Sus scrofa: one gene and its partner. The protein of the gene in region 1 interacts with the protein of each later gene in a biochemical or structural test. Links are inferred from orthologs where the notes say so. Each region holds a gene or a part of one and is shown on either strand. Other genes may lie near its edges.

Evidence for each region. The genes of interacting proteins can lie anywhere in the genome.
Region 2: the proteins of ERBIN (region 1) and ARHGEF7 interact in a test that uses a peptide from one of them, tested with the Homo sapiens proteins (2 studies listed by BioGRID and IntAct). The link is inferred for Sus scrofa from reciprocal best matches to the Homo sapiens genes ERBIN and ARHGEF7.

Annotation. Positions count from the first base shown.
Region 1 is NC_010458.4:44,530,558-44,534,417, reverse strand, and holds the end of ERBIN (erbin), read right to left. Parts: intron 3,188-3,860; coding exon 3,080-3,187; 3' UTR 1,065-3,079; downstream 1-1,064. UniProt on the Homo sapiens protein: Acts as an adapter for the receptor ERBB2, in epithelia. By binding the unphosphorylated 'Tyr-1248' of receptor ERBB2, it may contribute to stabilize this unphosphorylated state.
Region 2 is NC_010453.5:77,517,485-77,521,979, reverse strand, and holds part of ARHGEF7 (rho guanine nucleotide exchange factor 7), read right to left. Parts: coding exon 4,463-4,495; intron 1,870-4,462; coding exon 1,693-1,869; coding exon of another isoform or gene 1,655-1,692; exon of another isoform or gene 1-1,654. UniProt on the Homo sapiens protein: Acts as a RAC1 guanine nucleotide exchange factor (GEF) and can induce membrane ruffling. Functions in cell migration, attachment and cell spreading. Promotes targeting of RAC1 to focal adhesions. May function as a positive regulator of apoptosis.

The DNA of each region.
Region 1 (3,860 bases):
ACACTTTCTTCATATCATAAACTTAAGTGTTTAAATAGTCAAAGAAGATAACTGTATGTATTTCTTTTTATGACAATTCTTCTCACCCTGAATTTCATAATCACAATTTGGGATGTTGTATAAATGCTAATAAAATATTATATAACTGCTAATGGGATTTTAAGCACAGCAAATACTTAAAAGTTTAGCTCTGTTCAAGGCAATGTTTGTATTTAAAGAATTTTTCAACTATATGCACATCTTGAAGTCCTAAGAAGTCATAAAAATATTTACAAAATAAATATGTAGTGGATTTTATAATGTCATGGACTCAGAGAAACCAATGATTCCTTAATGAATCAGCATAAATCTTTAGTTTGTGTAAGTAATTTTGTCCTAGACATATAATCCTCTAAACACTAAAAATATGACAACTTTGGTTTTGATGGTTTGCTATATAATACTTACTAAAAATAAGTATGTCAATTATGGGTATGGGCCTTAACTACAAATTACTCAATAATATATAAAAATGTCTTCTCTATTTTCTCAAAATATTTAAATTATTACTCTTTCAAATGTTGAAATTTTATCATTTCTAAAATAAAAATTCTAATGAAGAGTTCTTGTTATTTAACTTTATCCAGTATTTTAGAAGAAAACTTGGGCTATTTAAGCGTAAAACTATCTTGCTATTAGTTTTTTGTTATGTGTCATGCTACTCATCTTGGTAACAAGCTTTCTTACTTGACATTATGAGTTAAGAGAACATTAAAAAATTTTAAATTAGAATAAAGTACTAGTGCATATCACAGTTGTTGCACTTATAATATTTCAATATAATATACAGGCAACTAACTTAAGTTCAGATCACTGATGAATCAATTGTTCTTTGTGGCTTATTTCCTTTTCCAAAATTATAGTCTGTGTATGTGATTCAAGATAAAGAAGTTGAAAATGTCAAATTATACCTATCTCATGTATTAAAAACAGAATGTAAATGTGAAAAACTGACTGAGAACAATAAAAAATGGAAATAATTTCAGAATGCCAGAATTAAAGAATGAATAAAGGGAACACGAGGCTTGTCTTAAAGAAGCTGTTTGTCATTCTTTTTTTTTAAAGAGATTACAGCACACATACAATAAATGAATTTTATCAAAATACAGCACATTTCTTCTACTATATCCATAAAAATCAATTCCTATGTAAATAAGTACTGAAAATCAACTAAAATGAGTTAAAATTTACAAAGAGTTGTTAAAGGGTTTCAATCAATATTATTAAAACTATACAGTACAATAACCAATTGATAACATCTTGAAAGAAGTGCAGTATTGGAGTTCACATCTTTTTAAAAGTACTGCCTATTTACTCTGACTAGCAAGAGACAAACGAGTCCAACTCACTTTTGCAAAAATAATACAGATTGCTGTTTTTGCTAGTCCTATAAAAGTCTTAATTAAAACAAGGTTGAAGAACAAAGCGTAACAGATTAAAAATTCCAAAATTATATTTCTTAGTAATTAAAAATGAATCGCAGTAACTGAATATTGCTCCAATGAAAGGCTCCAAACTAGCCTCGACTAAAAACAGTTATTGGTCTTCTATGGCACTTTTTTCTGGTCCAAATAACCATGCATTAATGCTTACCATTGCATGTTACTCAAATTTTATTTGATTACACAGACAGAACAAAAACAAAATTAATGGTCTGAACAGACAAAATTATTAAACCTCTATCAAATATTTGTTACACTAACGAGGAACAAAGGCAGCTGGTGGTAAAACACTATTACACTGATGCACTTAGAAACCCTTTAAAGACTCTGAAGTGTTGAGTTCACATTTAATGTTACCTGTAGGAACAGCCCTTTATTTGAACACCTTTACACACTGGTAGGCCTCAAGGACCCACCCCTTTGCTCTACAACTTTCCACAGCAATTCTCTATCACTGTGCCAGTTTCACAAACTTGCTTTGGTTTCCTAGCTCCATTCTTACTATTTCCTTTTACTTTACCAAGGCAATGTGAGGCCAAACGAAATCAAGAGGCTTTCCTAAATCTTCTTACATTTTTTGTTACAGCAACACAATCTTAAAACTGGCCATCTTAGTTTCATTTGTTGCTTAAAATAAAAATTATAAATTAAGATTAAAATGGAGTACTAATTATAAAACAGATTGCAAGTACCACCATTTGCAAAAAAAAAAAAAAAAAAAGAAGGGATTTCCACATCACAGAAAATGCATGGACAAAAAAATGAAAAAAAAAATGTGTGGACATGCATCTACAGAAGAGTTAAAAATTTCCTGTGACTAAAAAATTAAAAATTGAATCACTAGTAACAAATGTATATAGTCAATGGCTATGACAAGAACAGATCTTGCAGAGCTCTTAAAATGCAATTATTGTCTTTTTTTCTTTAAAAAGACATTATATTTTTATTGCATTATTCTATTAATAAAAACACATTAAGAGTGTTCCCCTCCCATTTTTTGCTTCCAGATTTTTATAGGAAATAACTGTTTTAATCTGGCCTTGGAAAGTGAACCCACCAGCACCACCTTCACCTACTCACTCTTCAATTCAATATGCACATAGCAAAAGCCAACACTTCAAATCTCTTGCCCACATTAAAAAAAAAAAAAAAAAGGTAATTTCAGCAGAAAAACATTAATACCAGCTGAATAAAAATGAGGGCATAAAAGCTATGAGATAGATAGCTCTGCCATCTGTCTCTGGGCTACAATCAAGGCTAACTAGAGCCTTGCAGAGTTCAATCATGTGTATGAAATCCAAAAATAAACCTACCATCTATACAAAAACAACATACATTTGTTTTTGTAGCCTTGATTGCTATGTTTAAAAACCTAACAACAAGTTTTATATGGTATGAATTCAAGAGTCTCCCCTATATACTGTACAGTGGTTCTTTCCCTCTAACCACAAGTTCCATTATTTCATTAATGTACAAATTTGAACATAATTTTTTGAGTTCTTTATATATAAAAATAGCCAAAATATTAATTCCCCCCACAAGAATCTTCCAATAAATCTTGCTGTCTCTTGAGAGCCGTTTTTTTTAGTCCATGGTTCTTATGAGGAAACCTCTCTTAGAACAATGAGTTCTACTGTGTTCTGGAAAGTTTTTAGCAAGGACACTGCTTGCCCATGTTCAATATTGATAAAACTGTAGCCATTAGCCTAGAAGAAAAAAGAAAAATGGTTAAAAAAAAGTCACAGTAATTTATTTACATTTGTGCACTTAAATTTCTGCCAGATAGTCTGCAAACCTGGCAGAAAATAAGACTCATCTTGGCACTTTATTTATTTATTTATTTAGGCCACTTCCATAGCAGGCCAGAGATCAAAACCAAGTCATGGCAGTAATCCAGGCCACAACAGTGACAATGCCAAGTCCTTAATCACCAGACTACCAGGGAACTCCTACATTGGCAATTTAAAACATCTAGATTCCTGGGCTCTACCCCATAATTACAGAAATTAAATCCCTACAGGTGGGTCTCAGGAACCAATACCTTGCCCATATTTTCAGATGATTCCCATAAATCAGCCTGACATTAGGAAGCACTTGTTTAAGGCACAATGTCAGACATGATGGGCACTGAGATTACCAAGTTGCAGGGGTGGTAGAGGTCAAGACCTAGTCTTCCCATTGCCCAGGAGCTACCAGATCAAAAACACTACACCTCTTATATAACTTAGGCTAAACATTTAATAATGTCTTACTATATACTAGACACACAGTTCTAAGTGCTTTTCATGAATTAAATACTTTAATTCTCGTAACACATAAGGAGATTCTTTCACCATATTATTTTAGGAGAAGTTAACATTCATAAAGTTACACAAAATG
Region 2 (4,495 bases), on another chromosome or scaffold:
CAGAGCACCGAGGAGCACGTCTCCTCGGGACGCCCGCAAAGACAGCGCGCCTGGTGCTCGAGGCGCATCCAAGGGCAGCGGCCGTGCGGCAACGAGGTGGAGGGCGCCGAGCGCGCGGAGGCCTGGCGCAGCCCGGAAGGCTCGCACCGGGATCGCGGCCTCCAAGCCAACGAGAGCTACCAGAGAAGCTGCAACCCTACTGGGCGGGACAGGACCTCAAACCGAACTGCTCCTGAAGCCACCGCGCGAGCGCGAGGCCGTGAGCCGCGCAGGCGGCGTGTCTCCACGCCCATGTGCTGCTCGGCTGGTGTCAGCGCCGGGCTGCGGACGAGGCGCCCGTCTTTCTCACCCTCGTCTACCCTGGTCGACACACAGCCACGAACCCTCCAACCCTCCGAGGGCACGAGCCGTTGGGGAGCTACCACCTGGGCCCCCGCCCCTGCTGAGCCCGCCCTGCACGCGGCGCTGAGGCTGCGCCCGGAGGGCCTGGCGCTCAAGGTCAGGACGCTGAGCGCGGGGCTGAGCGTGGGCTGTGGCGGAGGACACGGCCCCGCGGGCAGGAGGACACGGCTCTCCCTATCGCCACGGCCTGGAGCTCCCGGACGCTGGCTCGGAGCCCTCCACATGGCCGTGGGCTCCTCCCCAGCGGGGACCGGGCGCTACGACCGAACACGACGTGGCACGTGCAGGTCTTCCTGAAGCAGAACTCGGGGGGTGAGGGCAGGGAGGTCTCCTCCCAGCAAACCCCAAATCTGAGACATGCTCAGGGGAGACTTACTCCAGGGACACACACCCGTCACAACCGGGAACGTGGGGGACACGCCACCAGGTGCTGCACGGGGCTTCACTGTGGCGGGTGGCTAGAAACAGACAGCGCGTCCCAGCACAGGCGGGAGCAGGGGCGGGGGTGTGGCGGTGGGGGACGGCCAGGCCGGGACCCAGGCCGTGCCCTCAGCCCTCAGGTAAGCTTAGAGGCGGCCCTGACGCAGCCTGACACGTCTCCACCTGAGCAAGGTCTGGGGTGATGCCGAGTGGGCGTCTGGCCTGCCGAGAAGTGGGGACCTGGGGACACCCATCCGTGGTGGGTGGACGTGCTCGGCCGGGGGTGCTTCTGCCCAGGCCCGGAGCCCACACCAGCCATACCACCAGAGGCCCCTCGTGGTCAGCCGGGGCCTGAGTCGGCTCAGGCCTCGGCTGCACTGGGCTCGGCCCTGAAGGCAGGTTTCTCCTCACGCGCCTCACCCACCGGTCGCTGTGTCTGGCCCACACACCGTCTAGACCCCTGTACGGGGCCGAGTCTCCCCCGTGTGGCTGGCACCTGGCTCCCACGCCCGTGTGGTTCCAGTACAAAACACAGACATGCTCATACAGCTGCATCCACAGAGCGAGACAGTCGCTACGCTGAGAATAGAACCAAACCACGTGCAGCTCTAAGACCCGCACTGCCCCCCGGAGGCCCGGGCCGCGGGCACCCGCCGTTCCCGTCCACAGTCGGTGACGGCAAGTCGGCCTGCACAGAGTACAACGGGAAACATCAGAAACGCTCTCCAGGTTGTTAAAATATCACATAAAAGAGACAGGAAACAGCAAGGAAACATCTAAGAAAAGCAGGCTGCAGTACAACAGGCATCGTTAAGAACAGCTCAGAGGTGCATTAGTTCTGGTGAGAGATATATGAGCAGCAGCTCTTACGAGAGGTCGAGCCCATCCTGTAACTATGGGCTGTCCATACACTGTCATAGTCAGAGTCTTCCGAGAGGTCTGAGGGCTCCAAGCGAGAAAGGCTGCTGCGACGACCCAAGGAGTCTAGACTTGATTGGTCATCATCAGCCAAGACGTGATTATGCATCAGGTCAGTGCCTTGCCATGCTACGACGGGGCGGGGGCGGGGGCGGAGGGGGGGGGGACAGGCGGGGGGGGGCGGGAGGACGGCAGGAAGAGCCACAACCAAAACGTGAAAACAAAAGCAAAAGGTGATGGGAAGAGAAGGGAAAGAGAAAATATTGTTAAAAAATGCAACAACATTCATTTCTCCTCATTCATGGCTGGACTGTAATAACGAGCTCATTAATTAGCACAACCCTCAGAGTAAAGCGAGAGCAATTACTATTTCAACCCAAGTCCCCGAACCATCTCCAAACTGCTCTTTGTGACACTCTTGCTCTTAGGCCCTCACTGCATCGTTTTATGACAAATTAAGCTCACGTCCACAAGAACATTCTGAAGACATGTGACAGTGAGCAAGCCTGCTGCACAGCTGAGTAACAAACTGTCTCGGTTGGGAGCATTTACAGGGTCACTGTGGATACGCCGAGTGCAAAACACTTCCCAGGAATCTGTGACTTACTTCTGCAGCAGGCTCTCTGCCAGACTCCATCCAAATCAGCAGAAGCCATTTTAAAGAGGGGGGGGGGTCCCAAACTTACCTTATGGGGGTGACACAGGCCCACTGCCCCTGGCTCCTCCAGCCGCAGGGTGGGCCCATCCCCAGCCCCAGGGTGCTCACCAGCCCTTGGCCAGGGTGAGGGACTGGGGGGAGGGGACACATCTGCTCAACGCCACCGACCTGACACGGACACTCCCCGCAGCACAAAGGGAGACGCGACGGTAACGCCTCTACGGCAGGAAAAGGGCGGAGGGACGTGGGGAACAGAGAGGAGCCCATGTGGCAGGTGACGGTGAGCAGTGACACTGGCCCGGCAGCAGTGGGTGGGCACCTGGGTGGGCTCCGCACAGCAGCACCGGCTCCTCCTGTGCCTGGTCTCAGAGGTAAAGCTGTTCCAAACCACACAAGGGCAAGCAGCCGGCTGACTCGGATTTCTTCGCCTAAATCCCTACTGTCTAGGAAGCCGTTACATCCTTGAGCAAGGAATCGCTACCAAAGCCGCCTGCCCGATGAAGCCTTCTTGGCATCCTGAGTGGAGGTGGACTTGGGGTTAGACAGATCCGCCGTCTTTACTGTACATCCGAGACCGAAAGCTCCTCTGCCCGATCCGTCTCCAGACATCTCAGCTCCACCCCCTTTTCCAGCACCGAGGACCCATCTCCCCCACCTGCCCCTGAGAAGGCCACGTTTGAGGCCAGCTGCAACTGCACGCCCTCGGGGGCCCCAGAGTGCTCAGCCCATAAGATCGACTAAAGACCAAAGTGCATGCACTGGCCAGTGCTTTCCTTCAGCAGGAGAAATGGACACACAACACAGACACCAAGATGAGACCTGCGTACACCAGGGCCCCGTCTCTTGCACGAAGAAACACACGCAGCGCTGGCATCACCCGTTCTGCTCTGTGAGACGACCATCAGCTTAAAATTTCATTTCAAATAGCTGAAGTTGAGAGGAGTAATTCTTTTAAAGTCTCAAATTCAAAACCGAAAAAAACCACGGTCACATTTCCCAGCCTGTTACTCAGCATCCTGTCTCTTAGTGACTGCATGGAACAGTCGCGTCTTAAATGACAAGGACGGTCACAAAACTACCACTCCATCGTCTGCAGACTCACGCCATGGTGAGGCCTTTCCAGGTCCTCCTGCCCCGGACTGGTCACCAGGGACAGGCTTTCTCACCAGAGAACGGACCGAACATCCAAGGGCGTCATCACGGGTGGACACATAAACTCCTGGCCATAAACGAGTTTCCAGATGGGGAGGGGGACACCGGGGCCCCCAGCGCCAGCAAAGGAAGCTCTGGCCTCCTCCTGAACAAACCACATGCACACCCCATCTGAGGCCTCGCCACCCTGTGCTCAACTCCCAAATGCTGGGGAAATTAAAACAGAAAAGCGTCCTCTTCTCACTGTTCACTCAACAGATACAGACTTTTTTCACCTAAGACACTGCGCCCAGTGAGATGCAGGTGAATTCAATGGTACCCATCTCAAAAACTTCTCAATGCAATCATTTTTAAAAGGGGGAGTTGGCTAAAAGAACTTACTCTAGGCTTTTTTTTTTTCTTTTTAGGGCCGCACCTGCGGCATATGGGCCAACTGAAGCTGTAGCGGCCGGTCTACACCACAGTCATAGCAACGCCAGTTCCAAGCCGCATCTGCAACCCACACCACAGCTCACGGCAACACCAGATCCTTAACCCACTGAACGAGGCCAGGGATCGAATCTGCATCCTCATGGATAGTAGTTGGGTTCGTTACAGCTGAGCCACAAAAGGAATGGCCTAGGCTTATGTTTTTGGCAACAATTCTAAGTAGCCAGAAACCAACACACCACCGGCACACTCTGAGCTGACAGACTCCCCCCACTGCCTTCTAAGCCTGACAGGGTTTCTAAATCTGGCCGGCCCTTACACCTCAAGGTTTCCCAGTGGAGCGCTTGTTAGAAATCAGCTCTTTTACTGAACAGCTCAGGCCCATCCCCACGATGCAGGGGTGCTGGCCGAGGATGCGCCCCCATGAGGGACGGACTGCTCAGCCGAGCCAGTCCGGGGCCCCGGCCGTCCCTGGGCACTCACTCGAGTTGAGCGTCTGGCGCGTCTTGGCGCTGG